Linked DNA regions of Styela clava. The protein of the gene in region 2 binds, or shares a complex with, the protein of the main gene of each other region. Links are inferred from orthologs where the notes say so. Each region holds a gene or a part of one and is shown on either strand. Other genes may lie near its edges.

What was found. Proteins that work in one complex are often made in the same cells at the same time.
Region 1: mediator of RNA polymerase II transcription subunit 23-like (region 2) and mediator of RNA polymerase II transcription subunit 7-like share a complex: the UniProt entries of both Drosophila melanogaster proteins name them as parts of the mediator complex. The link is inferred for Styela clava from reciprocal best matches to the Drosophila melanogaster genes MED23 and MED7.

The regions. Positions count from the first base shown.
Region 1 is NC_135263.1:12,517,118-12,525,006, reverse strand, and holds mediator of RNA polymerase II transcription subunit 7-like, read left to right. Parts: upstream 1-4,624; 5' UTR 4,625-4,736; coding exon 4,737-4,831; intron 4,832-5,022; exon of another isoform or gene 5,023-5,174; coding exon 5,175-5,259; intron 5,260-5,630; coding exon 5,631-5,768; intron 5,769-6,326; coding exon 6,327-6,520; intron 6,521-6,659; coding exon 6,660-6,810; intron 6,811-6,966; coding exon 6,967-7,008; intron 7,009-7,226; coding exon 7,227-7,403; 3' UTR 7,404-7,824; downstream 7,825-7,889. Other genes in the region: galactose-1-phosphate uridylyltransferase-like, read right to left, coding at 1-557. UniProt on the Drosophila melanogaster protein: Component of the Mediator complex, a coactivator involved in the regulated transcription of nearly all RNA polymerase II-dependent genes.
Region 2 is NC_135256.1:5,125,325-5,133,163, forward strand, and holds the start of mediator of RNA polymerase II transcription subunit 23-like, read right to left. Parts: upstream 3,173-7,839; 5' UTR 1,747-3,172; coding exon 1-1,746. UniProt on the Drosophila melanogaster protein: Component of the Mediator complex, a coactivator involved in the regulated transcription of nearly all RNA polymerase II-dependent genes.

The sequences.
Region 1 (7,889 bases), on a different chromosome or scaffold from region 2:
TGAGTTTTATCTTCAATTGCAGCTTCATTGGGTAGAAAGGAGCTCGCCCATATTTGGCAATGTGGATGAGGGTTGGAGCAACCCATGACTGATCCTTTGTTTTCGAAAACTTGCACCCAGGTATACTTTTCACCAAGCTCTTTTGATAAATCAACCCATTTATTGATGACCTCAATTACATCATTATTGCTCATTTCTGGCAAGGTAACATTTGAATGAGGGTGAAAGCACATTACTTTGCATTCACCAGATACAGGAGACATCTTAAACAAAGGGTCATTATTTTCTTCTGTTGAAAAAACTTCAGGTTGTAGAGCAGGAAAATCATTATCGAAAACATAAGTCCCTGAATACTTTGGATTTTGTTTACCATTCGATCTTATGTTGCCAGGACACAGTGGATTTTTAGGGTCGTATTCAGGAATTTCATCTAAAACTGGTTTTTCAACTTGTCCAGTCCATGGCCTCTTAAGACGATGTGGAGACACCAAAACCCATTCATCTTTCAGTGGATTATATCGAATATGTTGATGGTCATTAGGATTAAAAACAGACATAGCTCAAATATTTTTGTAATACATTGACTGCCATATACAAATTCAAAATTTGGTAAAACACATTTAGCTATACCCATTATAAGTACCGGTATAAGTTTATTTCGATTCACACTGCGACCTGTCTGTCAACTAGTCAAACGACCAATCATTGCAGAATTGAGAACTGAGAAGCATAACAATCAGATCAACGAGGATGCAGCAACTAATAAAGTCATTTTTGTGACATTGTGTACAACAAGTTATAGGTACGGTATGCTTTGGTTCACACCTAGCACATTGCTTTGCAGTTGTTCACCTCAATTAAATTATTGTTTTGCTTTAAATGTGTCTGTTGTAAACAGATCCATGATTTATGTTTTGGTGATTGGTTACACAATCAGGGTTGCCAGACCCCAGCCATCAAAAAAAGCCAAATCAAGACATAAAAAAAGCCAGAAAAAGCCAACAATTTTACTAAGTACCGTAGGCTACCCATGATTTGTCAGATTTTAAGCCCTTGGCAACGTACCGATGATGATATAGAGCCATTAGTTCATTCAGTGAGGCACACGAATAGAAAGTAAAGTTCCTATAGCCTAGCACTGTAGAAATTAAATATCGAGCGGACAGCATTATTTTACCATTCAATAAATACAATACAGGGTGCCGCATCAGAATATGATATACCTACATGTTTCTACTTAAACTTATGATATACCTTAAAAATTTCTCCCTATATCGTACTTTACTATTGAATATTTTTTACTTTTAAAATTTATAAACCATCAATTTTATTAAAAAATTATCTAACCCCCTGCCGCTCACAGGTGGACCACTGATTAGAGATGTACCGATGTATCGGATATCGGTATCGGCAATATCGGCCATGTATCGGTATCGGTTAGATTAAGGCCGATATTTCCGATATATTTAACTTTTTGATATGGTCCAAAATAGATTAGTTGGAATACTACTTTTCAATTTATTTTTTGTCTGGAGAGATTGTGAGCTATGAGCCATACATGTCCCCACCACCGTGAGAGAATATTCACGTGTTTTTAGCTATTTATCAGCCAAACTAGCTCAACTAATTTAGATATTTTCGCTGTCAAATTTTTATATTGACATTTTTAATAATACATAGTAATTATGAAGAAATATATCAACACCGCACATAACAAAAAGCAATCAGGCGCCCGGTTTTAAATCATACAGTGGAATTGGGGTCCTTATTAACGGCACATAGACCCTTGGCACAGGTATAAATTCTGACTGTTTGTCGTCAAGTACGAGTGTCATTTAGTCCGTCGACATCGATAAACTAAATTCCGACACAATTATCTCTCTACGCAAGTATTAATTTGAATTTTGTTTAATTACACAACTATTTTATAGATATATTGACATGACCGCCTATCCCTAGACTGTCTCAAAATATATGATTGCAATTGTAAAATATTATAAAATCTATTTCGTTGAAAGAGATCATGTTATTTTTACTAAAAAAACCTCCTCGACGGTTATAGGTAGGCCTTCTTTTTGTTGGTGCTGATTGATATTCTTTATTCATGTTGGCTTTGACTTGTTGCGTCGACGATTATGATTAGCCATGAAATACAATATTTGTAAAATGCTTTTAATTTGAGCGTAGGACGGCGGCACTAGAATATGTGGGTGATATTCGATATTCTTTTAAACACGAAAAACGATATTCGAAGGTCGCGATATTAACATTAAATTCAAATTTGACATCCCGGCTTATGAGTTTTCTAATTGAACACCGAGATTACTAGCGTTACTGTACAATGTATCTTAATCAGTTAAAGCAAACTCCAAACATTAATTTCATATTATGTGATATATCTTTTTTTTTCGATCTGAAATAATGTGTACTATGAACAACGCTCAAAGACCATTGTTTTAACCCGTCTGCCCTACACAGCACCCCTAATTAAGTAATAATTACATAGTATCGGAATATCGGCCTTCTTATAGTATCGGCGTATCGGCGTTTTTAGCTGGTATCGGCGACAAAAGTGGTAACGGTACATCTCTACCACTGATATCTTATTCAGTAATTTTAGCGTAGTTAATCACATCGTTATTGCAATTGCAGAATTAAACTAAAGCTCACATAAACCATATCAGGCATAATGAAAATTAAGTTATATAACTATTTTTTGGAAACAGAACGAAAACTATAAAAACGAGGCAATGTTTACAACCCTGCTTGAACATCTGTCTGAGCAGCTGCAGAAACTGCAATTATTTCTTATTGGGTATGGTTAAGAGTTAATGTAACAAACAAGGAAATCGATGCTCCAGGAAATCCTAATGTTAAGTAGCTAAGTACAAGTAATAGGCTATTGTTCAGTTGTTACACACTAAATATTGTATTTCATATGATTCTAATAATAGACACTAGAATAGACTTAAAAAACGCCAAAAAGCCAAACGGATATTCTGACGCTATACGGGTTTCAAAAAAGCCAAAAATGGCAAATTTGGCGTTAAAAAAGCGAATATGGCAACCTTTTTTTTTTTTTTTGCTAATCTTCTCTGTATCGTTCCAATTTTTTCATATGTACACTCGAAAGTAGTACCCTGTACACAACGTTATGCGCCCTCAGCCGATAAATGTTCCCGTTTTTTAGTTTTTTTTTTCGTTATTTATGCGCGTGTTATATAGGTTATATGTGGGAGAGAGATTTGTTATCACAAACAATATCAACACTATAATACATTTGAAGCAACACAAAATAAAATTTAACAATAAACAACTGGTTGATCATTATTTGTGAGGGTCAATATGCAAGACCAGTTAGGTCACCAAGGCTCCTGGGGGCTGGCCCTTGCTGTATAATGTATACGGACCTTTCCCCGATCTTTGACCCCCGAGAAATTCTATCTAAACTTCACCATTGCAATAATTTTCGGGGTTATTTTAAGAGTGCTTTTGCGAGTTGGCGCCTGTAAAATGGGGTATGTGTTTCAAACCATCATTTTGATTCAACGCATACAACAATCTGTTTTTTAAAAGTACCGGTAAAGAATTTTAGCCTAGTCTATCCACTGCTATTTCTACACTAATTTTTTATTACTGCAATTAAACTAAAACTCCTAGAAAGACAGAATGATCATTGAATTATCTGATTTATATTTAAGTTTCTGAAACACTACTGAAAACTAAAGAATAAATTTCTTTTTTTTTTTTTTTTTTTTAAACGCTCACAAATGTGTTAAATGTGATACAGTAATAATCATAGAAATAATGGGAAATAAAATTTTTACAATCATTATTATCTCAAATTGTAATCCATATTATCCGACGTAGTTTCCATTTTTCAGTATTCCAATGTTCAATAATCCATGTATAATCCGTAATATCAATTCAGTGATATCAAGATGTTTTCAAGTTAATAATACATTAGTTAAGCATTATTTGTTATACATAAAAATAGAAAAAAAAATATTAGCAACTATACATTTACTCAAAATATAATCACAGACAGTTGGTTAAAAATTCTAATTCCTTTATGAAATTTGGTAATTTTCGAACTTTTTCTATATTTCTCCGACATGTTATTGAAGTTTGTATCTGTTTTATGACTGTTTGAACGTTAGGTATCTTTTTTTGAAATATAACAGCATTTCTTTCTAACCAGATCTTATATCTTGTTATTGATATAAGTAATACTATAATGTTTTCATGAAAATCTGAAAAAAATACACTGTTCATTTGGGAAAAATCTAATAAAATGCAGGTCAAATAGTCTTCTCTTAAATTACTAATTTTCCTAATAACAGAAAAAATATAATCATATATATGTTGAGTGAATTCACATCTCAAAAATAAATGTGATATAAATTCTGGTTCTTTGCCACAGAGGGCACACAAATCATTTCCAGAAATCCACTTTATTCTTGCATGGGTTTTTAAAGGTAAAATTTCCCACATAAGAATAAATTTCGAAAACGCGAAAATGAGGGAATGTTTACGACCACGCTTGAAAACTTGTCTGAGTGAGAAAAGTGTCCGAGCGGATGCGAAACGGGAGCATTGCACGTCACTTTTTGCATCTTGCTAATTGGCCAATGGCCAATGCCACGAAGTAAACAAGAAAGTCGATGCTCGGGGAAAGTCCATGAGGAATCAATAAGACATAGCATCAGCAATGAAATACGGATCAAAATATATGAATGGGCATTTACTTATTTCAGTATTTATTGGCGCTCACCATATTCCTATTTCTGCGCGTTTTGAATCTTATCAGTGGTTTCGCCAGCGATTTTCTGTGAGTTGTTATATTTTGTGTTTGTTTTTCTGGGAATTACAAAATGATCTTATTCTTATCATTATAAAAACTATGGATTAACCACTAGTGTCTACTGTCTATTATGTGACACGGCCACTGGCATGACTTCACTACCACGCCACGATAAGGTATTACCTAATGCCATGCCTTTAAATGCTATGCTAACTATGCTAATGAATTTTGGCTTCAAGACGTTCGAATGTTGTTCTATACCTAAATATTTACGGCCTACAGGTCTAGCGTTACGGTCTTTCTCATGCGCATGGTGTACAATAAAAACGGAACTGTAACCTGGTACCGGTATAATTCGCCTGCTATTCAGGAATACAATGGCTGCGGCTCAGCAGACTGTCGGTGGATCAAGTGATGTCCAAGTCCAAAGTTCATTTCCTTTGCCACCCAAGATGGTAAGATACGGTAAAGTTTTCATTAATAAGTAAAATAAAATCATGTTATATTGCGCAAAGTTCACACTGTATTATAAAAATTTTATTATGTTTTTTTTCATCAAAATAGACCGTTCTCCAGTTCTCATTGAGAATATTTTAGCCTGTTTTGTATATAGCTATAAGTCTATGCATCCCAAACAAATAACTGGCCAACTAAACATATACCCGACATGGACTGGTGCGGTACCGGTAACCGGACGAGAGGCTGTGGTTTACCATATGATTGAGCCAACTTTCCTCTCTGAGGATGTATTTTATTTTTTGAATTCTCCTATTCCTATCTTGTTTAGTTTTGAAATTGCAAATAATTCCTCATGCATAAATTTCAGTTCATAAGCAAGTATACGGATGAGGCTGTTCAGAGGGATATTGCTCCTAAGCCTCCAGCTCTGCCTGATGGTTCTTACATGATGTTTGGACAACAATGTCATCAAGATGACCTGATCATCAGACCTTTGGAAATGCAGGTGCTAATTTTTATTATTCGAAAAGCTAGTTCAATACCTGAATACGGGAGTAGCATAATTAATATTCATACGATTATCATGGTGTTATCTATATTAAACATGCGACAACATTTGAAACCTCTAGTTCTTATGGTTGGGGCATGCTTTTTCTTCAGGTCTAATATCTCGATGCTCCATCTCAAAAAACTGCCTGGAAATAAAGGTAGTTCTTATATTTATATCATATAGCCTATATTTTATTTTCACATTAGTAACTTATTTTCTTTTTTTTTGCGTGTCATCAACGGAAAAAATGATAATCCATATGAGCCATTTTCATACAAAAAATAATTGATAATTTCATATGATAAATTATTTAGAAAAATTGCTCATTATTCTTGAAATTTGAAAGTGCATTGGTTGTCCACAGTATTGGAGAAACACCTGTTTAAGTTATATTGCTGGCTTACAATATTACAACTCTCAGGGTTAAATGATATTTCTGCACAAACTTTGCCTCTACACATTTTAATGACTATCTGAACAAGATATGGAATAACATTATAGTTATGTTTTCAGGGACTTCAACGGCTCCATCCACCTGTATATGACAGAAGAAAGGAATTGAAGAAACTCACTGTTTCTATACTCTGCAATTTTTTAGATTTGTTGGATGTTCTTGTTAGTGCTACAGAATCTGAAGCACGCGATAAGAAGATAGAAGATTTGAACATGCTTTTTATACACATACATCACCTAATAAATGAATTTCGGTACTACATATATTGTTTTTGTTATTGCATCTGCATCACAAACTTATTGGTTATTCATAGTAGTGATAAGACTAGTAATGAGAAACTGTACAAATTTGACTACAGTAACATGACTAAGTTATTTCTTTTTTGATTACAGTCCTCACCAAGCTCGCGAAACTCTTAAAGTTATGATGGAAATGCAACAAGCACAAATGCTAGACGTTGGCGAAAGGTTATGGAAACATATTGAAAAAGCTGGTGATATATTGTCAGAGTCTAGTACTCAACTTGCGACAATGCAAGCAGAGGTATGTGGTGTTTCATATAATGCCGCATGCCACGACTTGTCTTTTTTTCATGCGCCCATTTGACCATTTCTCAAAAACTTCAATGAATGGAGTGTTGCATTTTGCTCAAGGTCAACAATTTCCCATATACGGTTAACAGTTTTTTATTTCATTCAGAATCAGTCTGCAGTTGAAGCCATTGAGCTAATGCGAAACCAGGTAAGGAAATATTTCATATTGATTATTTTCTATTCTATTTCTCAGTTCACTATTCTGCCATAATTATCGTATTTCAAAGTTTCTGAGTTTTTAATAATTGTATTTTAATAAATACAAACTTTTGTGATTTCATACATTATGATGCTATTTGAGTTTTGAACTTGTCTAGATACTCAAGCTCCCAGTTCGCGTCCTTATTTACCTTAATTTTTTTTCAGGAACCTATGAATGTTGATTCCATGCTTACTGATTTATCTAGTACTGATTTATCAACATCAATATCTCAGAATGCCCAGGGTAAAAACAGTATGGACACAGAAACATCTGATATTGTGAAGGACATATTCAAAAAGGATAAAATTTTAAGCGGCTTTATCAATGACATGAATGACTGATAGCAAGATATTTACCTGGCACTAGCAATATGACAGCCCTACCCAGTTTGCAGGGTTGCTATAAGAAATGATTTGTCTGTTGGGTTTCATCGTGCGATTTCTGGAATTATGTACTCTCAATTGTGAGACTGTTAAGAAGCTATCACCTATTTGTTGCTAGCCAGACTAGAACCTGCAGCTACTTGATCATTCATGGAATTGAAATACTACGTACACTCAGATAATCTCTTAGGCATATATTTTATGTGTTCACTATACATGTATATTCTATTGTGGTCTATGCGCATTTGCAACAGATATCATGTGGCAGCATGCATAAATAGTAATTTTCTACAACAAAGAAAGTTTTCTAAACCACCTGGTAAACGAGTTAGTATTATGTTATAAAGCAGTAAATAAATTACGGTAAATGCTTGCTGCATTTGTGCTTCTTTTGTGAGCCAGTACATAGATCTATCCCGAGGGCAGCCGTTTTGTTGCCAAAAA
Region 2 (7,839 bases):
GTTCGAATTATTCTGCGCCAAATTCATAACTTTGACCACAATATGATGAATCAAACTCATTTTTGTGTGAACAGTTAAAGAATCGAGGAGACTCATTGAAAGTGGTGTTGTTTTAGCAAAAGCTACGCAGTTTTCTCCGGGTAAAGGTGTCGTAGTCGAATCTCCATAAATACTGTCAACTAGAGAGTTAATAGGTCCGTTGAAAAGTTCTGTTGTCGTGCTACAAGCGTTACATATCAGAGCGATCGCATAGTCTTGCAAACTGTTGTTCTTTGATTCCAAACAACGCTGCAAATACTCGTGGTGTTTTTGTAATGATACTGGTATCGCACAATGTTGAAATTGTGCAGTTTTGGACGTGGTGCTAATAGACCCCGAAGAGCTGTTAGAACTTGCATTTTCTTGTTGTTGATTATCACTCTGGGCTTTCCTGTTCAAATGCATTAAAATGCAAATTGCAGCAAACTTATGTGTGCTGAACGGCTTCGTTATATCAGGTTCTGGAAGAGGTTGACGTTCAGAATACAACAAATTCATCAACTTTATAATCGGAAGAAAATCGCTGAGTGGATTTTTTTGAATGCTTCCTGAAATAAATTGAAGCAAGACCCACATTAAATGATCACGTCCATTTTTGACATTTCTTGATGAAAGTTTCTGATAAAAATTTTCAACCATTCTTGGGAAAACTGCGAATTGCAAAAGAACAAAGTAGATCACCTGACTTGATAAATGTTGCCATTGTAAATGTATTATACGATAAGCATCGTCCTTTTCATCTAAATTTTCGATTTCACTAGTTCGTTCCATTGTGCTGACAACTAAATCAACCAGTTCTGTTTCTAACGCTTCGCATCTTTGCTTTTGCTGTTTTTGAAGATTCAGAACATGACACACCATATCTCTTGAATACGGCTGCTCAAGAATGTATCTCAAGAGCTTCGTTTGGCGTTGATATAAACTTCTATCATACGGAAGTTGTCCTTTCGTTGTGAATCTCAAAGTCTCATGATCAAGTTTCCAAGTGGTCGTTAACGGAACAGAAAAATGAAAAACAACCGGCAAAAGATGTGACCGTCCTGTTGTGGAAACCATGGTCGCCGTTGCACGAAATCTGTCTACAAACTCCGCGACTTTCCCTGATAGACTCCAATGACCGGATGGTTGGTCCTCCCCAGAATATTGACGAATCTCATTAACGGCTAAATACCCTGGTAATAGACAAGCTTCTGGATCCAATAGGTATTCAATTACATCAATTATAGCATTCATTTGTTCTGTCATTTCAGACCAAGAGGTTGTCGGTACATTTTTCAACTTCAACAGAACTAGATGCAGAATATCACGACATCCTTTATATTCAATTAAATGAATATATTCCTTTAAAATTTCAAACGTTTTGCACCAATGAACACGACGATTATGTTTCAACATTTCATGAGGAATTAAACGCTGCAGAACTGTTTTGGTAGGTAGTATCGAATCCTTCAAACAAATTTTGATCATGTCCGCTACAAAATTTATGTGACGTAAAACAGTTTGTTTATGGAAAAAATTCAACAAACCAGACACACAATCTTCGGGCGCAATCTCTCGGGTCATTTCTTGAAATTGAGAAAGGCATGCACGGAGCCGTTTGTCATGGTCTTCTGGAGTTAAACGAACAAATCCAGCAAAAACATTCACTATTGTATCTGTCTTCAATGCGTCGTCGAAAACTTTTTCAAGTCTACTATCAATAGACATGTTGATTCCCTTGTTTAGAAAAAATTCATTGAATGGAAAATTTTCAGCAAAAGTCGGACATTACTTAAATCCAATATACAGTAAATAATGGCTCTATAAGTATTACTGAAATATCAATTGGATTATTTTATATAGGCCTATTAAATGTCTTGGTAAGAATTACTACAGTATTGATTACAGAAAAAGAATGACATTAATGTGGCAATTAAAAGAAGCGCTAATATAGTAGTACAATACGACACAATATCCAAATTCCTAGAATTTCCCTCCAATTTGTTCAATAAAACATACACTCCATGTGTCTCACAAAAGAGGGCACCACGTCGGATGCGTCATATCACGCCATGCTTGTCTCAATAGTAATCTAAATTAATCGCGGCCGCCATGTGACCAAAATTGCCATTTTTCGCTAAAAACTCTCGAATGCCACGGTAAAAAACTTTTTCCCTTCGGTAAATTGGATTATTTTTTCCAGAGAAATTCAATGATGACGTTTTTAGATTGCGCTTTTTTGTAGTATTTTGCGCCAACTTCATTATACTGCATTTTTACCGATATTGAGGGACAACAATGTCCAGACGTCTGCCAAAGGAGGACTGTCTGATCATCGGTAAAATGGGTTTCTCTGAAACAGGACAATGTCACTCGATTTGTATAGTGTGCTGTACTGTAGTGACATAAATTTGCTTGAATGATTTATTGAATAAGCTAATAGTAGGCTGTTCAAAATTTAAATATCCTGCGACGCCAAAACCAAATTAAATGGTTCTTCCAAATTGAATTAAATATTAAACTAGACGAGTATTTTAATTTAAAAAATCCAGTTATCATACAGATAAATTAGAATTCCGACAATTTCAATCAAATAAATTATACATGAAGTTCTGCACAGTACTGCAGTATTTAACAAAGTGTTAATCGATAAATTAACATAGGAACAGGACTTGAAAATGTATCCAAAGCGAAATTCAAAATGTTTACAAACTTTTTCATGAACTGGCCGACGATATCAAACTTCTAAAAATTGATTCAATATCGATATGATAAATAAAAATACTAAGCACTAAAACTTGGAATGTAGCAGAAAACTTTGAATAAAAAGCAACATAGTAGGATGTATAAACTTATCAGATCAAATTTAATTAGTGTGGCCACAAGTTACATTGTCCACTGTTTAGAAATGAAATACTGCAAACCACACTTGAGATGTGGATGAGAGACATGTACGTACACTGCAGCACTGCCAACAACTCAGGATTTGAAAACAAATTTGAATGAAATTCAGTCACAACATTTATTTTCAAATCACATTTTTGTTTGTTGTTATTTAGGCACTTACTTGCGTTAACTATTTAAGACCTGTAGACCCCAAACTTGTTCACAACTTACTTGATGATAAAATATATTACAAGACTGCAAGAGGAGCCAAGTTTAAATTGCTGAATAGTCTTGTCTAGGAGGCGCGGCGGTGTGGCTCAACGGGCGAGTGGGAGTGGTGAATCCTCTGCGGCCCATGGGCCGGGGCCACGGCCCATCGAATTGGGCCTCGGCCCATCAGGCTATGGGCCGCGGCCCATCAAGTTGTGTAAAGAAACTATTCACTTGGCTAACACAGACAGTCCCCGAACTCATAATAGAACTATAATGTAAAAAAATCTGAATTTTTCTTGTCCTAACCCTAACCTGGTACACATACTACAGGAGTATATTTTTTTGGTTTGAATATTGACAATTTGGTAAAAATTGAAAATTTTGTTAAAATAATTGAATTTTTCTTGATGGGGCTGCGGCCCATCAAGCTATGGGCCACGGCCCATGTGGCCCAATTAGATGGGTCGTGGCCCTGGCCCATGGGCCGTAGAGGAGTCACCACTCCTGTAGCAACGGGCTAAGCGTTAGGAATACGCTCGTGACCGCACCTCTAATTACTCTGCGTGGGTTCGAATCCCATGCAGGGATGGTTATGTGCGAGAGGATTGCTGGACTCCTCGCCGTCGTTGGGTGGTTCATGTAACCGCTGGTCGGTTATGGCTTCCTCCAGCACCAAGTCCATGCTTCCGAAAACAAACAATACGGTAAAACTAATCCCATACCTGACTTGGAATGGTAACCGGACGTGAGGCCGTGGTTCGCCATATGGATAAGCCGTCTTATCAGCTTTCCTCTCCCCCGGGATGAATATGTAAATCCTATCCTATCCTAGTTACCGGTATAGAAAGCAATAAACGAACTTCCACAAGAGTCTATGGTTGAGCCAAATAAGATAATTCACTATGAAAACGATTCCAAGTTACTAAGCAATTAGGTAAACTACCCGTCCCATAATAAAATATATAAATACACAATACAAAACACACAATGGCAAATATTTAAATCCAATTTGCCCATCTTCTCTAAATGTCCAACTTCATTTACTTCCATGTTTGATCCATGTTTCCAGGGTTGATCACTATGATGCACAAAGATCAAAACGTATTTTGAATTCGGCTGTGGTTTTGCTCTGCTGATTTGTATATACTGTAAGTTTTATACGCTTACTTAGTATGATATAATAAGTATACCGTACTGTTTATATCATTTAAAATATTTTTTTAATGTCAACTTTTCCAAACTTTATAAAAAAAATAAGAGAGGGAACATTTATTTTAACCGTGTAGGAATAATTTGCTAATTAGTGGGGCGTGACGACAAATATTAGCGACCTCTAGCGAGTTGTTTTGCCTCATTTTTATCGTCAGCAGGTGACACACTTGAGCTTTTCGTTATTGATTTGTTGCCAGAATTTTCTTCTCATTTCGTAAAAGAACAACTTATTTTTATTCTACTATTTTGTGTAAATTGAAGGATAAAAATACATAGTGTAATATTATAATAATTTTTATATATAAAATTGTTTAATGAACATATATTCCATTACTTTATTAGATATTAATTTCCTTTTGAGTATTTCCAATTATCAGGTCTGGCAATTGTAGATCAATAGGAGAAATGCCGATTCACCGGTGTTGTTTTTCTATTTGCTCGTCGGCATTTCTACATTTGCAGCGATGCAGCTTTATTAAATTCCACTGTTGTCGAGTATACTGGTAGAAGGAAGCATTGCATAGAAGACTGCAATACAATTCTGGAAGGTTCAGTTCTTCGTATTCTAAGGTGAGAATAATTCATCAGTATGCTAGATGTCAAAATACGGTTCTGATTCTGTAATAGACTAAGTTTTATTTTTTTGTTTTGTTTTTATCGTCTTTTATGCTGATTGTGGAGTAAAAATTGTCTTATACCATTATACTCCACTTCTTTACTGGGTATGTTTAGATGGTAGGATATGGTATGAACCACAATTTTTTTCCTAATTTCGATAGATGATATTTTCGATTTCGTGGAATCACTACGGTTTTATATTTCAGGTATTCGTGTGTGCTGTGTATGCAACATTTGTCAAGGTGCCTTGAACCTATAATACTGTGATTCATTGATGCTTTGTGTATGATTGCTGCTCAAAATTTTAGATTTGGTAGATAAATCAACTTTTCTGATTGACTAATTGTATTGCAGTATAGTAGATACTGAGATACGGTACTTTCAAATGAGGCTTCAAGGCTTATCTATAGGGCTTTATATTTATTTATTCTTTGACTTGCATTTTAAGTCAATAGTTTTAAAACATTGAAAATACACCTTGTATGAACAAACAATGTTAAAATGACATTTAAGGGTACAAAGAGGCACCAATCTTACTTTTGAGAAACTTACATTTACATTCACAGTATTTGTTGTATGGTTAATTGAATTTAAATTGTTACCAAATAAACCATTTATGAAAGTCTTTTAATATATATCATATATTTCTTGTTTTTGGTATGAACAACCTTATCATTTTTTGATTGTTCATATTCTTTCTTTGTAGAGATGGATATGTAAATGACTGCAATGGATTACAAGTCTCTTCAATATGTTTCTTTTCTTCGAGAGAAGATTGAAGATTATATCATGGCAGCTGAGCTTAACAATGTAAGTGAATATTCCTTTTATAACAATGGAAATAATATAATGCAATATTTGTAGAGTTTGTAAGTGATGGCTTACAATTTTTTAGGATGTCAAACTCGTTTTATTTTTTGGATAGCTTTTCATACTTGCAATGGTATGGATAAACTTCTGACTACATTTTTCGCCAGACGCCAGACTTAGAATGTGTGAAATTATAATGGGCTGTTACCATTTTATTACCTCACACATCTGATCTTTGACACATTGTATATACCGAGTTCATTTTCTTTAATCACCTAGTCTTTTGTAAAATCTGTTTAGGGAATCGACAGCTTAATGATAGTAAAATTCTACATCCAACTTCATCTATATTGTAACTTATCTACAAGATAGTTCAGAGTATATTTAAAAAAAGCCATAATATTTTATTAAAATCTTTTTTTTTTTGTTCACAAAGTCTTGCCGCAATTTTGCTTTTCTCTTTTCACATTCAAGTCATGCTTTAATTACTGTGAGATTCACTAAAGTTTCAAACACTATTCCGCAGTCAAACACCATTTATTTAATATCAATCCATGATTCCGAAAACAAATAACTGACTAATCTGATATCCGACATGGACTGGTAATCAGACGAGAGGATGTGGTTTGCCATATGATTAAGCCGTCTTATCAGCTTTCCTCTCCCCCAGGATAAATATGTTAATCTTATCCCATCTTGTGGTGAATGTCACAATTCATATGGAGGCGTGTCAATGATGTTCTTTTAGCACGTCACACAATTCTCAATATCTGTTCACTTATTAATCATCAAATCTATGCTATAAATATCTAAGTGGGCGTATCACTGGGCGTTTTCTGATGATGGCACTCCTCTTATTATTGAACAATGACCTTATTGACCTTGAGATATTCCTTCTTTGGTTAACCTATTAGCTTACTGTCAGCATGTCGATTTGTCCTCTAAGGAGGATGCTATTCAAATTGAATTGGGTCCATACGACCATTCCTTCAACTAACTGTTTATTGTAATCCGTCATCATCAAATTTACTCTATATTTTTAAACAACATAATAACATGATTTTGTCCTAATTTTGTTTTAATTTCATAATGTTAACGACCACTACTAGAAAGTATATTTGAAGTTGAATTCAAGCTTGACTACTAGTTTTGATTTATTTTAAACTTATCTTGGTTTTTCTGTGGCAGAGCCTTATTTGTTGCAAACACCGGTAGGTCATAATTGTGGTTGACACAACTTATTTACATGTTTTCTAATGCATTACATTAGTTCATGATATGTTTTCTGTTTCACTCTGGACAGGTTGACATTGTGGGCACTGGCAATAAAGTGAGCAGTGGTTCTCAATATTTTATGGCAGTCATGTCCCTCAGTTTATCATTCCAGTGGTATGTCATTTTGATTGGTAGATTCCAAATCCCATTATGTTTGAGCAATTTATGCTTAACAAAGTGAAAACACCCTGTGAAATCTCTTATCAAACAATGAAACTAGGAAGAATGGGGAGTTTTCTTATGAATGAAAAATAAAATTAATTTTGCGCCAGCATTGTGTCCTCCCCCCCCCTCCCCAACTGTAAATACCTATATTTTTACTCTGTGGCGCCCTTAGGGACTGCTGAAGTGGGGCCTTTGCTTATTCAGCAGTTTATGACACTTTGTGTGAGACCAAAATCTTCAACGTAAGATGCCAGCATATCGTATTTATGTTCCAAATAGCATTTTTTTATCCATTTTTAAATTGATAAATCTTTTGGTTAAAATTTCCACAATTTAAATTCCTATTTAAAAGGTAAGGTCAGATGATGTCACAACATGTTTTCAATATTTCTTTCTAAATAAAATGTCTTTTATTAGTTTGTTTTGTCCTCAATCAACAAGGGCCAAACCTGAGTAAATATACTTAATGTTTCGCAACTATGCTAGAATTGACTTCGGAAGGAATTAAACTGGAGAGAATTTATTTGTTGCTGACTGTCTGTTGGATGTTCATAAAATATAGTTTAAAAACAAGTTCAAGGTTTTTTGGGGATTGGTAAGAATCAGAAATGCTTGTGACTTGGCTTGGCTTGTCCTGTTCAG